3 linked regions of the Yarrowia lipolytica genome follow. The protein of the gene in region 3 interacts with the protein of the main gene of each other region in a biochemical or structural test. Links are inferred from orthologs where the notes say so. Each region holds a gene or a part of one and is shown on either strand. Other genes may lie near its edges.

Region 1 (5,286 bases), about 3.2 Mb from region 3:
TGCTCCAACTGGAAAATCTGATTTGACGACAAGACCATGCCGTCAGCGCTAGTATCTCTGGAGGAGACCTTTCTTTTCCTTCGCCTTATCGGAACTCTTAGCTCCGACACCAGACGGTCACGTGACTTGTCACACGCCTGTGAGTCAACTCTCGCTTCTCTCCTGGTTGTCTCCACTCAAGTCTAATTAACCTCTCTTTGAATTACGACCGTTATGCTCAACACATGTTCCGGAAATAGAACAGCAAGGCTATGATGAAACCGGGAACTACTTCCTATAAAGAGTTGATCTTGGCTTGGATTGGGTGTGGTTGGCATTGCCCGATGTCGCTATGGACCGAAAACGCGCAAGGAGCTTGGCTGGAGTATGTAAGGGTAGTGGTACGATACGTTGAAGACATACAGTACAGTTATGTATCATCATGTATGAGCATCAAGGGGCAGAGCCGTTATCAAAGGGGGCGGCATATATGTCCGTGAGATTCTAAGACGGCGTCTACGGGCTGCATCAGGTCATGTGGATGGTTGCTCCTATTAGCGGCGAATGGCATTGTTCTAGGGCCTGTCTCGAGGTCTATGTCTCAGAAACTATCGGTATGACGACGGTCCATGACGATGCTGCGCTGAGACTGCAATTTACTCTTTACGGGCGCTTAGCACCCATTGGGTTGTCGATCTGGGGTTATTACGATTGCCAGGGCGACCTTACCTTGTTCGAGGTAACATCTGATTGTGTGAGTATGGGGCTGTGTTTGATAGTGCGCCTGTATCGACTGCGGTCGGTTAACCTGTAAGGTACAGGCACACTGGGGTTGCCCAGTTTTATGAAACCGAGTCGTCCGTATGAAACGGCATGTTCTTTTTGCAGTGAAATATCGCACACGGCGGAATGCGGAATGCAGAATGCGCAATTGGCGGACAAGATCGGTGAAGAATATGAAGCTATAGTAGGTACAGCAGGTACAGCAAGATGCAACGGAATCGTGTGTTGATTCATATTAAACGTCAGCTCACTTGTCGTCTCCAGTCGATCTCACCATCAAAGTGCCCACCCTTTCTCTCCATCTCAGCTGCTGTGAGGAAAAAGCAATAACTCCAGCAACAGTTCAGCCCGGTGCTTAGATCCATACATGCGGAGAGCACAGGCTGAGTCTGCCGAAACTCTGAGGCGAGCTAGAAACAAGGCGCAATTAAAAATAGCGGAGTAGCGTTGGCTTCGTGTTACAGAATGGCCCAACCCAATGGCGTTCAAGCTCCCATTTCCACCCCCTCAGTTGCTTCCAACACTCTTCCACACATGACAATAGACGAGGTAGAAACAAGCTAAGCTACTGTATGTACCAGTGCTCGTACTGAGAATGACACAGAAGTAATATCTGTCGCTGGTGCCATCCTTTGACATAGGCACCCGTTGAGCCGACTGGTCCCTGTCATGTGACGTGGTACCAACCTCTCGGTAACCATGGCTAGAACGCCTGCAGAGTGCCATCACCAATTCTGACTAAACGCCAAGCTCCGGAGCCAAGAAATGACGAGCACAAATTGTCCGAGTTTGCGACCCCAAGACGAGCGGTCATTAATTTAGCCGCGGTGGAGAGTGTCATGACACGGTTTGGAGCATTAGATTAGGCGCAATGAACGTTACGAATATTGACTAACGACCGACGTTACGGTAGCTACTGTACCCCAACTACTACATCAGACTTCTAGGTTGACAACTGATGGTTTCTAGAAGACGTTAAGTGGAGTCGGTGACACATGTAGGCGGTATGACGACACCATTTCATCGGATCCGAGCCTGTGGACCTTTTACTCGCCAATTGTTAGAGTCGCTTTTCCGTGCTTCTAGGACGTCTATTGTCCTGTCGTCAATCTCAACCCTATATGCCCCCTCCCTCAACGTTGTATGGCTTCCACACGTAATCGTTGCACTCTGTTTGCACCCTTTTCCGGGCTTTCCTTGTTCGTCTGGCTTAGTGATTCTTGCTAATTTGCTCACCCCCACACAAGACGGCCAAGACGGGTCCCCAAGGTCACATGGCTCTATTGTGCCTCTATTGTGCGTTAGTCCATCCCTACACCACGATTGTGCCTGACCATCTTGCAGGAAATTGAGTATCTCAGCATCAGCATTCACAGCGGAGAAGAACACACATCACAGGCATCAGCAGCGGCTGTTTGTGTGGCCGTTGCATCCCACCTCCCCTGCGGCACATCTTTTTGTTTCATTTAATGGCTTGTCCGCAACACCTGTTGCACAGCCCTGGCTTTCAGGAACATGTATGGAAGCTGGGCTGTGTGCGTAAGTCTTGCCTTAACTCCGGTTCTGATGTTTTTAGAATTTTTTTTTTTTTTCCGTGTTTCCTGGGAGTCTAAAAATAACACACGTAGCAACGCTGCGAACAACACAGCACGGCTGCGAATAATCCAGTATGGACGGAGAGAGGCGTGCTAGGGGAGGGTCACGTGACACCACACAAGGGGCGAGACATGCAAAAGCACGCACGCCAACGGGCCCGCAAATACCCAAAAAAAACAAGCCAGAATCTCTATTTCAAAACCTACATTGATATCGTACTTGTATTCAAAAGCTACACTTCCGCGCCCCCCCAAATACCATTTTGGATTTAAGGTTCAAGGTCGCGACCCGACACTAAGTCGCATTAAACTACTCACACACCAGGGTCCAAAAAACATCGACGCCACGGAAGAAAGACGTGCCTGGGATTCCCGTGTATATATAAGTCGCTGCCGCCATGTCAAATACCGGAGATCCTCTTCAAGAGGTCTTTGAGTCATTCGACCCCAAAGATTACTATCTGTTCGACACCTCCACCAACCCCACAAAACAGCAACAGGACCCCAACTCGATACAACCGCACCAGCAACCGCCGCTTTCTGGTCTCCCACACAACGTCAACACCTCGGGCTTTGACGACTCCACTTCCATAATCAACGCAAACACCCCCTCCCCGCTTCAGGCAGGCTCCGTGTCTCCACAACCCCAGCAGATGGACTTTCTGTCCCCCCAGGATTTCCGTTTCGCCTCCTTCGACGACCCCCAGTCTTTTCTGAATCCCTACGACCTCCAGACACAGCCGGCCACCGACTTTCTGTTACCCATCTCGCAGCCTGGACACCACCGAGCCAACTCGCACTCCTCAGACACCTCGGCGGCTCCCTCCCCGCAGCAGTTTCATTCCCCGTACGCCGCGTCTCCTGTCAACCCCGACGAATACGCCGCAGAAATGGCAGGATTGCCCGAACTGACCTACGGACTCGATCTCAACGGCTCGCAAAGCATGAACCAGATGAATATGGCAGTATCACCTATGGCTATGGGAATGCCGGATCAGATGAACCAGATGAACCATCAGCAAAACAATCTGAATCCGCCCATCCAGATGAACCACAGCAACAGTCACACCGGCCTGTCTGACCTCAACAACGCTAGCCAGGGTAACCACAATATCAACAATAACAACGGCAACGGCAACAGCAACAGTAGCCACACCCCCGGTGTTGCGCTGTCGCCCTCGCTGCTGACCCCAAACATGCTGTCTCCAAACAGCTCACAGCAGTCGTACTCGTCGTCGCCGCAGACGTCCCAGGGCTCCATCTCGTCGCAGAGCCATCAGTCTATCCCCATGCTCAATGTGGAGCCTCCACGTGACGACCCGTCCCGCCGACGTGCTCACTCCGACGCCTCGCACTACTCGGACCGGTCGTCGACGCCCTACGAGGTACCCACGCTCTTCCCCCACGCCACCTCGTCGCCGTCGTCGCAGGACCCCGCTGACTTGCTGTCTCCCGGCGACGCAGCAAGCATACAGACGCGTCGAAGCCGTAGCCGCTCGTCGTCGACGTCTTCGGACGTGCGGACTCGTGACCAGTCTCACTCGCCCTCCCGATCGCCCAGCCAAGGCGGAGGCAACCGTTCGCGCTCAAACTCTCACTCGCGAGACTACATTCTCGAGCTGGCGGCTCCCACGTCCAACAACAAGCGTGTGCAGAAACACCCCTCCACTTTTGCGTGCCATCTGTGTGACAAACGGTTCACCAGATCGTACAACCTGCGGTCTCATTTGCGAACTCATACTGATGAACGTCCATTTGTGTGCACTGTCTGTGGCAAGGCGTTTGCGCGTCAACACGACCGAAAACGACACGAGGCTCTTCATTCTGGAGAGAAGAAGTACCAGTGTCAGGGAGTATTGGCAGACGGGCAAACTCCGTGGGGTTGTGGACGCAAGTTTGCGCGTGCAGACGCTCTGGGACGACATTTCAAGACCGAAGCCGGTCGGGAGTGTATCCGGCTGCTGCTGGAAGAAGAGGCCAACGAAAAACAGGCGCTTTCGGGCCAGCAGGTTCCCTATCCTGGCGATGGAGTTCCTTCCTTGACTTTTAGTCCGCCTGCTGAGCCTCAGAACGAGCCCCGGCCTCAGCAGCCCGTCATTTTCCCGGCCGCTCTGCTCCAAAAATACCCCGTGTTGCTGAACCACTTGAACGAGGACTAATTGAGGTCTTTCTGTGGTATTGTTCAGCTGATGTTACTTTTAGATCCTCCTAGTGGGGTGCTATTTATTGTATATGTATTCTACATTCGTTTCTACTCTGTGTGGTAATTACTATTTGTACCGCTACAAGTACTTGTAATTAGTGGTCTGCATAGTTGTGATAGTGCGAGGTCATCGCATGAGTGAATTGTATCGACGATAAAATTATGCTATAAATATCCATTCTCGATCTACAAGTAGCTAGTGCATGACCGTTGAGAATGTGGAGATGACCGTTAGTGTGGGGGGATGGGGCCATTGTCGATCAGTCGATCTACAAGTAGTCGGCTCGATTCGGTGCAGGAGCTGGGTGGTTACTACAGCAGATCACGGTTACAAGTACGAGCATTGGAGTCTATGGATCTACAATAATATCGTTAATTAATAAGATGTGAGATAATGAAACTCAATCAGTTGAGAAATGGAAGAGGTGAAAAAGAGCGTGGCGGTATTTGTGTGAAGGGTATGGTGAGAAATGGTTTGGATATGGCTTCTTCTGTCTGAGTGTGATTTTTTGACCTCCCCACGGAAGTAGATATCAGGTTTTAGACTGCACCGGAAGTGAGTATACAGCATCTGCTACAAGTGGCACAGTAATACCTGTACATGTACTGTACTTTTAGTGTATCTTGAAACACGATCAGGACCTACTTGTACTTGTAAGACTGTCTGTCTAATTCTTTCACAATGTACGTAACTCTGGTCAAATCACATATGCTTACAACAGGAGC
Region 2 (6,142 bases), on a different chromosome or scaffold from region 3:
GTCCGACCGGAACGACAAGCAGTTGACCCGCGAGCCGGTGTGAAAGGCCATGAGTCGCTCACCCAGCTTGAGGTTGTAGACGTGCACCTTTCCGGATGCAGTTCCCACTCCAATGTAGTTCACAACGGGAGCGTCAACAATGGCGGTGATCTCGTCGTCAGATCCAATCTCGTTGGTGGAGAAAACAACTTTGCCTGTTCGAATATTCACCAGCAATAGAGACCGTCGAGTTGCCACCACAATCTTGTTGAGGTAGGTGGGGGGATGGATGATGGAGTGCGCAGCTCCCACAGAGTTGGCGAGAGTCACGGTGGTGTAATACTCAAACGGAGGGTCCAGCTCGTCTCTATCTTCCTCCTCGTCCTCGTCGTCAGACTGCTCCTCCTTCTTCTGGCCTCGCTTGAAGACAAAGATCTGTGAGCTGTTGATGGCCACCAGGTTCTCTCCGAAAGATCGCACACACACTAGCTTGTCCTTGGTGTCGCACTCCAGCTTGTACAGTAGCTTACCACGGAAGTAGACGCCAATACAGTTGTCCCAGGTGGCATAAACGTAGGGTCGGTGGAAATGAAGCGACTGGATGGGCGCGGGGGTCTGAGGAGAGGTTACAAACATGAGATGGAGCGTCGAAACATCGTAGATCTGAACGGCTCGGCCCACACTGCATGCAACCAGGAAGTTTCGGCCGAAAGATGACACGGAAATAGGTGTGGAGTTGGCAACATGTCCAATAGTCTGTGTTAGTTTGGTGATGTTGGGTGTAGTGATGGGGGTGTAGTACTCACTCTGAAAGGCGTGAAGATCTTAGAGGGGGTTCCGACAAGTCTGTCACGCACAGTGACCTCGTCAGACTCCACTCTTCGCTTTTTTTCAATCGCAGGCATCGTTTTAGAGCGGGTGTCGGAACGCTATGATTTGTGTGATGCAGCTTGGAAAAAAATATTTGGGTCGTGCATGCCAGAAGTTTATTTGGATGGGTCATAATCTGTACAGTATATGAGGATATGTAAGAAGTTAGGATGAGATGCAGAAATGATAGTAGAAGTATACCGAGAGTATTCTTCGTGTTCTTTTTTAGTGATAGTGGAAATAACTGGTTCTGTTTATATTTTCAAGTTGGGCGATAGAGTTCGGTTTCAAGTGAAGGGAAATTTTTGTTGGATTTTTAGTTGGTACTTGAAGGACTGTCTATGAAAAATGTACGTACGTACTATAAAAATAAGTACTACTTGTGGTGGTGTTTATAAAATACAATAAAATAAAATAAAATAAAATAATGCTCCTCTTTGTGCAGCTCTGTAGCATTGTTAGCATCAGTAGTGGACACTCGACTCTGAAACATCCGAAAGGCTTTATATATATAATATATATATATATATATATTATATAATATATATATTCTACAAGTAGCACATAGAGCACTCAAAGTACAAATAAGTACATACTGTATATCATACTGTATGGTACTTACAGTGCTCTGTCTCACTACAAGTGTGCTCGTAACAATTACTTCTAAGTAAGACGTGCAAAACTATATCGGAAGATCCAAATTGGAACGACTGGTGGAAACGATTAATAACAACGGGATGTGTGCGACCCAGCAACTTGAGATGCCGACACTGTCTATATAGAGCCCTCCTTCTACACCACTGTAACATTTGGCCTTGCGCTCACGATACGTCTGTCTTCTTTGCATGTGAGCGGCAACGAAACTTTGGCTCCACAATAGCGAGCACGTGGATAGATACAATGGAGTAGATTGAGGGGACTGTAAAGCCACTATTGTGGGGTATTATAGTAGGTGGGAGTTTATTGAATTGGAGACAGACTGAGAATTGGTCATTCTATATCTCAATCTGTCGATATCACCCAGTATATATCGGCTTAAGGTCTTCTGTGCTATGCTATATCAACCCACCAAACAAGGCGAAGCTGCTGCATAGACGATCGAGCTGTGGAGACGGTATCGTACAGTAGATAACCGGAAGAACTCAGATGGGGGTGGCTTGCCAAGAGTATACGTCACTCACTCATAAAACAAAAGAATAACTACAAGTGGTCTAATCAATTTTACCACTCCAAAAACAGCCAGAGAACATTTCCCAATCAGCTGCTTGTAGCTCCAGTCCAGTAGAATGGCTCGCTGCACCACGCTGCCTATGCATCTGGTGTTAGCCAAAACCATAAGCAGCGAACAGCACAAACGGGAGTATTAAAAGTTGTTTTACCAGAGACCGATGTCGGATCTTAAAAGGTCAATCGCTGTAAAACTTCCTTTGAAATCGATTTCTTTTTTTTTCATCTTTCTACCCCCTCTCCTTGTCATCCAAACTCCACCCCAGAATCATTGCTTCGATATTCCCAATTGTCGAGCGCAGCATTAGTCTGAACCCTAAAGCTGATCTCGTCGACATCGGGTCTACCTCTCACACATCTTCACACCACCCACCACACCCCCCCCCGTGGAAAAATGTTCAGAACCGTCTCCGACCGTGTCGGCCTCGGCCCCCGCATCCTCGTACGAGCCCTCGGACTCGTCCATCTCCACGTCGTCAATAAAGGCTGCTGTTGAGGGCCGAGCCCGACGGTCCTCTTCCTTCTCTAGCATCAGAGCTGCCTCTGGTACCCCCGACCTGTCCAACCTTCCCAAGATTGGCAAAATTGGTGTCTGTGCGATGGACGTCAAGGCCCGATCCAAGCCATGTCGGCACATTCTCAACAGGCTGCTGGACACGGGCGAATTTGAAACCGTTGTCTTTGGAGACAAGGTGATTTTGGACGAGCCCATTGAGAACTGGCCCACGTGTGACTTTCTCATTTCCTTCTTCTCATCCGGTTTTCCCCTCGAAAAGGCCATTTCCTACGTCAAGCTACGAAAACCCTTCCTCGTCAATGACCTCATTCTGCAAAAAGTGCTGTGGGACCGACGTATCGTGCTTGACCTGCTCGACTCGGCCAATGTTCAAACCCCTCCTCGTCTCATTTGCACCCGAGACGGAGGCGCAAAGGCCGACCCTGACCTGGCCAAGAAGCTGGCCGAACACAATGTCATCCTGACTCCCCAGCCCAAGTCCGAATGTCACATGGTTGACGAGGATACCGTCATGGTGGATGGCAAGACCATGACGAAGCCGTTCGTCGAGAAGCCCGTGGATGGAGAAGACCACAACATCTACGTCTACTACCCCAAGTCGTCGGGAGGAGGAGGTCGACGACTATTCCGAAAGGTCGGCAACAAGAGTTCAGAATTTGACCAGGATCTCTGTGAAGTCCGGATGGACGGCTCGTACATTTACGAGAAGTTTATGGACACCGAAAACAAGGAGGATGTCAAGGCGTACACTGTTGGAGCCCATTACTGTCACGCTGAGACCCGAAAGTCCCCCGTTGTCGACGGTATTGTCAGACGGAACACATATGGCAAGGAGCTGCGGTTTGTGACCAAGCTGACTGACGAGGAGATCAAGTTTGCCAGCAAGGTCTCTCAGACCTTTGAGCAGACTATTTGCGGTTTTGATCTGCTGCGTGCCCAAGGTGAGTCGTATGTCATTGATGTTAACGGTTTCTCTTTCGTCAAGGACAACCACGAATATTACGACAACTGCGCCCGAATTCTGCGACAGATCTTCCTGCAGGCTAAGCAGCAGCGAAACAAGGACCGAGCCATCGCTAACACTGCTCCTCAGCCCGAGAAGCACCAGTCCTGGGTTCTCAAGGGCCAGGCTATTGTGATTCGACACGCAGACCGAACCCCCAAGCAGAAGATCAAGGTCTCATTTAAGCATCCTCTCTTCATTGATCTACTGAAGGGTCACAAGGAGGAGGTTCTTTACCGAGAGAAGGATCGTCTGATGGAGGTGCTTGAGACTACTCGACGGGCCACAAGGGAGGCTACTGACGAGGATCCTCAGAAGATGGCTAACCTGATCATTGCTCTGGAGAAGAAGATGGATTTCCCCGGAACCAAGGTCCAGATCAAGCCCACAATCAATAAGAGCACCGGCGAGGTTGAGAAGGTGCAACTAGTGGCCAAGTGGGGAGGAGAACCCACTCATTCGGCTCGATACCAGGCCCAGGACATGGGTGACCAGATGCGTCAGGATCTCATGATTGTCAACAAGAACCTGCTCAAGAATGTCAAGTGTCTCTCATCTTCTGAACGACGAGTCATTGCCAGTGCCAAGATTTGGGCAGCTGCCTTCCTAGGTGTTGAGGAGGTCTCTGACGACTTCATTGTTGTTCGAAAGGGTCTTCTTGATGATTCCAACGCCGCCAAGGACCTCATGGACAAGGTCAAGAAGGAGCTTAAGCCTCTTCTGCGAAAGGGAACCCCACCTCCCCCTCATTTCACCTGGCCCGACAAGATTCCCGAGCCCTTCATTGTGTTGCAGCGGGTCGTCGAGCTCATGAAGTACCACCACAAGGTCATGGAGAGAAACTTCAACAACCACACTCCCGAGGAGGTTGAAGCCTTTCAGACTCGATGGTGTTGCCAGGAGACCCCTTTCTTGTTCCGAGAGCGATGGGATAAGCTTTTCTCCGAGTTCACTTCGCCCGACAAGGTCGACCCTTCTCGAATCTCCGAGCTATATGACGCTATGAAGTTCGATGCACTGCATAACCGACAGTTCCTCGAGCGAATCTTCAAGCCCGATGAGAGTGTCGAAATTGCTCCCCCTTCGTGCCACATCCCTAACGTCTCTGCTCCCGAGCTGTCTTCTCTTGGAAAGACTCCTCTTGTTACGCCTACAAGTGACGACGAAACCAAAACATCTTCCAACGGCAAGTCGCCCCAGCAGACTTTCTATGGCCCCCAGTACGTGCATCTTCGAGAGCTGTACCGACTGGCCAAGATTCTGTTTGACTTCATTTGTCCCCAGGAGTACGGTATCGAGGACAAGGAGAAGCTGGACATTGGTCTGCTGACGTGTCTGCCTCTGCTCAAGGAGATTCTGTCCGAGCTCAACGAGATGAAGCAGGCCGAGACTGGAGGTGTGATTGCTTACTTCACCAAGGAATCTCACATCTACACCCTGCTCAACATCATCTACGAGTCCGGCATCAACACCCGAATCGCCCGAAACGTGATTCCCGAGCTGGACTACCTAACCCAGATTGTTTTTGAGCTATATGAGAGTGTAGAGGCGGATGAGTATGGCGAGAAGAAGTACTCCATTCGACTGTCAATCTCGCCTGGATGCAACACCCAGTCTCCTCTGGATGTTCAGCTGGACTCAAAGCACTGCATCTCTTGTATTCCACGAGTCGGTCTCACTCGACATTTGGACCTGGATCTGGTCATTGGCAAGCTGCAGACTCGTTTCAACCGGGTGTCCATGCCTTCCAAGTTTATTCCCGTCAACATTTCTTAAACGAGCCTCAGAGTTGTTTTTTGCCCTTGAGCTTCTTATTACTTACGTTGATGTTAGATTAACTGTATATTAAGTGCATTTTTTATTGTGTGAGTGCTCCTGTGTAGTAATAAGTAAGATCGTATAAATAATTGACTCACTACATCTATGCCTTGTCTTCCTTCTTGCCTTACTCCTTCAGCGTCTTTTCCTTCTCTTCCCTCTCCTCCGCTGCAGCTGCCTTTCTCTCCTTTCGATGAATACCAAATCCATTGTACGCCACAGCCCAAGCTTCGCCCTTGGACAGTTTATCAGGAATCTCGATCATCTCCCACTCACACTTCAGGTCTTTTTCAGACTGTAGTATCGTGCTCAGAGCAGGGTACTTCTGCTTGAACTCGTCATCTCCAAACCGAGTGTCATAGGATCCGAGATAGTTGGCCACAATGAAGTCTGCATTGATGAAGAGCAGTTCATTGACGTTCACAGGTGCATGAGGTGCGTAGATGAAAGACTCTGTCGGCTGAAGTTTCACCTCGGAAATGCTTTTGGTCAGATCTTCGATGTCACCAGATTCTGCGGCTATGTCTGTTGTGTCTTCCATGTCAGCCTTTTGTGTATCTGATTTCACAGATTTTGTTTCCTCCTCTACATCCTTCGTTCTGAAATCAGGATCCCACATCCCTGTCACGGTCTTCATTCCTAACAGCTTGAGCATTTCCTCATCTCGAGCCGTGAACATAGGTTCTGTACAGACTACCTTGTCCAGAGGGATCTTGAGCTCTTCGGCC
Region 3 (4,321 bases):
TGATGCACCCGTTTCTTGTAGCCTGCCTTTTGACCCGACGAGTGGCGGAACACAGTGTGGAGAAGATGCAGGGCAATTCGACCGCATCGTTCCTCCTGCTCGGCCGAGAGCTCGTGGTCGGTATACTTTTCGTAGTAGACGGAGATGGCACTTCCGTCAAAGTACAGCAATACGGCCTTGACACAGGGCAGGTAGTAGGGACACGACTTGGGATGGTCGTGGTGCGAAATGTAGGAAATGGCGATTTTGGCGCCCTCGGACGTTTCTTTGCCGTCAGAGTCCCACAACGGCTTGTCCGAGTGGACGATGCATGTTTGGTTGACGGAAAAGTCGTTCTGGGGGTTTCGGGGGATGATTCGACGAACAATGACTCGTTTGACTGGACAGGGAGTCACCTCGACTTGTCGGGGCTCGTAATCCTGCAGATTCGGAGGAACTGGAGTGTTCTTGTCCTTGTCTGTATCCTTCTTGTCGTCGTCGACAGGTCCTTCATGGGTATCGAAAATGAACCCTTCATTGGCCTTGTCCGTGCCCATGATGTTCGGCATCATGTTGAGCGAGTCAGAAATGATATCGGCTCTCATGATCACCGACGAGTTGATGTTGGGCTGGCTGATCACGTTGAGCATGGCCTCGAGAAAGTGCTGGGCCCCAAAGTCGACCGGGTGCGACAGATACGGCGTCCATTGTGTGCCGACCGCGGACGGCTCGCCGCTGATATCGGTGGGTGTGAACATGGCGTGACTGGTAGAGGGTCAAACGGGTCGCTATTGTTTTTCTGTCTGATTTGATTTTCCATTGTGATGCACGGCGAAAAGTTAATGCGCCAGGGGGACATGAAGGAAGAGCAAACGGGGGACTCTGTGGGTGTTGGAGTGGGAATTGTGAAGAAATAATTACATAAATATGATTGCAATCGGACGAGAAATCCACTGGAATTTCAAATGTCCAATTCGACCCACTTTTGAGCATTTCAAGCCACCCCTCACCACTCACCCCGCCTAGAGTCACCGCCGCCGCACAACCGAACAGGAAAGACAGGTTATGACTCATTCGTGGGGGAAAGAGAAAGAAGAGGACCATTGAGTCATCCGAAACATACAACTCAAACCGGATCTTTAGGGATCAGATGTCACGTGGGCCGAAACCCGACCTTGGAATATTGTTCTATGTTGTCGAGTAATCCGTTAAGTAAATAGTGAATATTAGTTGGATTTGATGGGGGTACAGGACGACTCTGTAAGTAGGGTTGAAATGGATCCAGAAACACGCGGAGAATTGGAATCACGTGAGAAGCAACTACAGTACCATTTGGCGTGAATTTGGACTCAAATAAGTCCTTATTTTATCATCTACAATGAACCATTCTCCTACCTCCGCTGACTCATAGTTCAAGTAATTTTATACTTCTTGACACGTGATGGTGCATTTGGTGAAAAATGGATCTGGATTTCGGCGGTCCAGTTTGAGAGCAATTTAGAGCTGTGGGGGTATATATATATATATATATATATAGATGTGCTTGGGGTCTTGTTTTTTCCCTTCTTGTTTTCTCTTCTTTTTTACCACTCGGACCCTTTTGTCCGTCTCCTGTGGTTTTCCCCCTTTGCTCACGGTTTGCTCTACTGCTTGTCCCAACCAGCTCCATGCACGTCGTCAACATCTAAAACTCAAGTACAGCTGCCAACTGAGTCGTCACCACACACAGTCGTCCACCACCACCACCAATGAACACGTCATCGCAATTCCAGCAGCTGGAGAAGCTCGGAGAAGGCACGTACGCCACGGTGTACAAGGGCCGCAACCGAACCACGGGCCAGCTTGTGGCGCTCAAGGAAATTAACCTGGACAGTGAAGAGGGCACGCCTTCCACGGCCATCCGAGAAATCTCGCTGATGAAGGAGCTTAAGCACGAAAACATTGTGACGCTGTACGACGTGATCCACACGGAAAACAAGCTGAATCTGGTGTTTGAGTACATGGACAAGGATCTCAAAAAGTTCATGGACACCAATGGCAACAAGGGCGCGCTGGAGACCAAGCAGGTCAAGTGGTTCATGTACCAGCTACTCCGTGGCATTCTCTTCTGCCACGACAACCGGGTTCTACACAGAGACCTCAAGCCCCAGAACCTGCTCATCAACGCCAAGGGACAGCTCAAGCTGGCTGACTTTGGTCTGGCCCGAGCGTTTGGAATCCCCGTTAACACCTTTTCCAACGAGGTCGTGACGCTGTGGTACCGGGCTCCGGATGTGCTCCTTGGATCCAGAACCTACTCCACCTCCATCGACATCTGGTCTGCAGGCTGCATCATGGCCGAGATGTTCACTGGCCGGCCTCTGTTCCCCGGATCTTCCAACGACGACCAGCTGCAACACATTTTCAAGCTCATGGGCACGCCCAACGAGAGCACGTGGCCCAATATCTCGTCGCTGCCCAATTACCGATCCAACTTCCAGGTCTATGCTCCCCAGGACCTCCGAGTCATCATCCCCCAGATTGATAACGTGGCGCTAGATCTGCTCTTGTCGCTGCTGCAGCTCAAGCCGGAGAACCGAATCACGGCTAGACAGAGTCTTGAGCATCCTTGGTTTGCCGAGTACCATCAGTAAGCTGCATCAACCGCAAAACCTGTGGGAGCATGGGTTCAAGTATCATTGCTTCCTGCCAGTGCCGGCACTAGGTGCCGTTAAAGCACCACTGGAAGACCGACCCAACTACTGTTACTGGATCTTCACAGGCTAAAGAATTAACAAGGAGGAGGATAGCACTAATAGATTGTCGTGTTTGAGTGGTGCAATAGTCTGAAGTTGTATTGGAGAGGAATGGGCCGTATTAAAATAGTGAAGAGAGATCGCCGTACTATTTAATAGCCATGTAACACTCCAGGATCTACCGGAAAAACGAGTCACGCGATACACACGAGTTGAACATGAAAGTCACGTGAATTGCACGTGACTTGAACTTACATTCATGTCTGTACCATATGTACAGTATGTACATACATTCGCTATCTAAAACATCTCGGTCTTATGTAGCCTCTATTTATTTGATTCATGTCATAACTGGTATCATCTGAATCCCCACGTGATCAGGACTGTGACGAAATTTGTTACACAATAATAGGATCATTATTGACTGAGTGAGATGGTTGTTCATTTGTGACTCAACAAACCCAACTATATATCAAGTAAATATGGTGAAGATACAGGAAGATTAAACAACGGGGAAACCGGTGGTATGCAGAAAAAAAAGTGGTAGAAACAGAAACTGCGCTTTCAGAGTATCATTTTGATTAGGAAGATTTGTCCGATCACCTGATATTCTCTATGGAACGAATAGGAGTCGCTTACATGAGTCACGTGCACATAATATGACGTTGTCGAGAGGAGGATGTTGGGTCCAGGCTGGGTGCATGGTGAATTTGGGTGCACTTTGGTGGTAGCTGTGAGATCATGTGCATTGTCTCTATGAGGTCACGTGACTGATTCCAATCACATGGCGTTGCCTGCCACGGCGGCCGTGTTCGTGTGATGGACTTGTATACTTGACTATGGCCATCGATGTGGTTTGGGTTCAATTTTTCAAGTAATTGTCAACTAAATTGTGTTGTGATTATTGAAAGATCATAAAAAACAGAGCACATCAACAGTGAGAGCAAGAGTGATTGGGTAGTGCGAGACCAAGACCGAAGTCGGAGTTTTGAAGCCTCAGAAAAGTTTGTGACAAGTTTTCCGCATTTCAGTCTTGCGACCATTGCTAGGACTTGCAGATGTTTGTTTCATCATCGACCATGGACCAATACGACCAATACTCTACAGTCTACAGCTCCTCTTGAGTAATGACAATTACCTATCTAGACTGGGTTAGTTGTGTTTACAGAACCACGACTTGCTTCTGGTAAGGGTCAGGTTATTGTTGCGTTGTTAGGAAGGTTATCAGCATTGCAGAGCTCTGAGTGAGCTGAGTAAGTGTTTCATCATCAAATGATGGGCTTCCTGGAGTACTCACCTTGTGCTATGATGGGGAGAAGTGGTGTTCGGCGGTGCAATTTTTATACATGGGCTCTACTGCAGGGTAAGTTGTGGGAGAGGGTTGGGTGGGATGAGTCGTACGCTCAGAGGATATCACAGACTGGACAGGTAGGGTTATGTAAGGTTGTCGGTTCGATTACGGCCAGTGAGTGAGTGAGTAGTGAGTGAGCGAGTACAAGTCGAGTAAATTACGAGTTGTGTTGATATATTGGAAACTTGTATGAGTACGGTCTTCAACGGTCTCGGCCTCCTACAGTCTCCTACCGACCCTCCCGTTTTCTACCGCC

Evidence for each region. The genes of interacting proteins can lie anywhere in the genome.
Region 1: of the proteins of YALI1_D33418g (region 3) and YALI1_D01739g, one has a biochemical effect on the other in vitro, tested with the Saccharomyces cerevisiae proteins (2 studies listed by BioGRID). The link is inferred for Yarrowia lipolytica from reciprocal best matches to the Saccharomyces cerevisiae genes PHO85 and CRZ1.
Region 2: of the proteins of YALI1_D33418g (region 3) and YALI1_B17927g, one has a biochemical effect on the other in vitro, tested with the Saccharomyces cerevisiae proteins (2 studies listed by BioGRID). The link is inferred for Yarrowia lipolytica from reciprocal best matches to the Saccharomyces cerevisiae genes PHO85 and VIP1.

What each region holds. Positions count from the first base shown.
Region 1 is NC_090773.1:171,234-176,519, forward strand, and holds YALI1_D01739g (uncharacterized protein), read left to right. Parts: upstream 1-2,755; coding exon 2,756-4,516; downstream 4,517-5,286. Other genes in the region: YALI1_D01713g (uncharacterized protein), read right to left, coding at 1-137, 192-317. UniProt on the Saccharomyces cerevisiae protein: Involved in the regulation of calcium ion homeostasis. Binds to the calcineurin-dependent response element. Transcriptionally regulates PMC1, PMR1, PMR2A and FKS2.
Region 2 is NC_090771.1:1,790,079-1,796,220, forward strand, and holds YALI1_B17927g (uncharacterized protein), read left to right. Parts: upstream 1-2,675; coding exon 2,676-5,372; downstream 5,373-6,142. Other genes in the region: YALI1_B17908g (uncharacterized protein), read right to left, coding at 1-735, 786-884; YALI1_B17964g (uncharacterized protein), read right to left, coding at 5,542-6,142. UniProt on the Saccharomyces cerevisiae protein: Bifunctional inositol kinase that acts in concert with the IP6K kinases to synthesize the diphosphate group-containing inositol pyrophosphates diphosphoinositol pentakisphosphate, PP-InsP5, and bis-diphosphoinositol tetrakisphosphate, (PP)2-InsP4.
Region 3 is NC_090773.1:3,339,124-3,343,444, reverse strand, and holds YALI1_D33418g (uncharacterized protein), read left to right. Parts: upstream 1-1,727; coding exon 1,728-2,612; downstream 2,613-4,321. Other genes in the region: YALI1_D33428g (uncharacterized protein), read right to left, coding at 1-737; YALI1_D33397g (uncharacterized protein), read right to left, coding at 3,359-3,546, 3,601-3,757.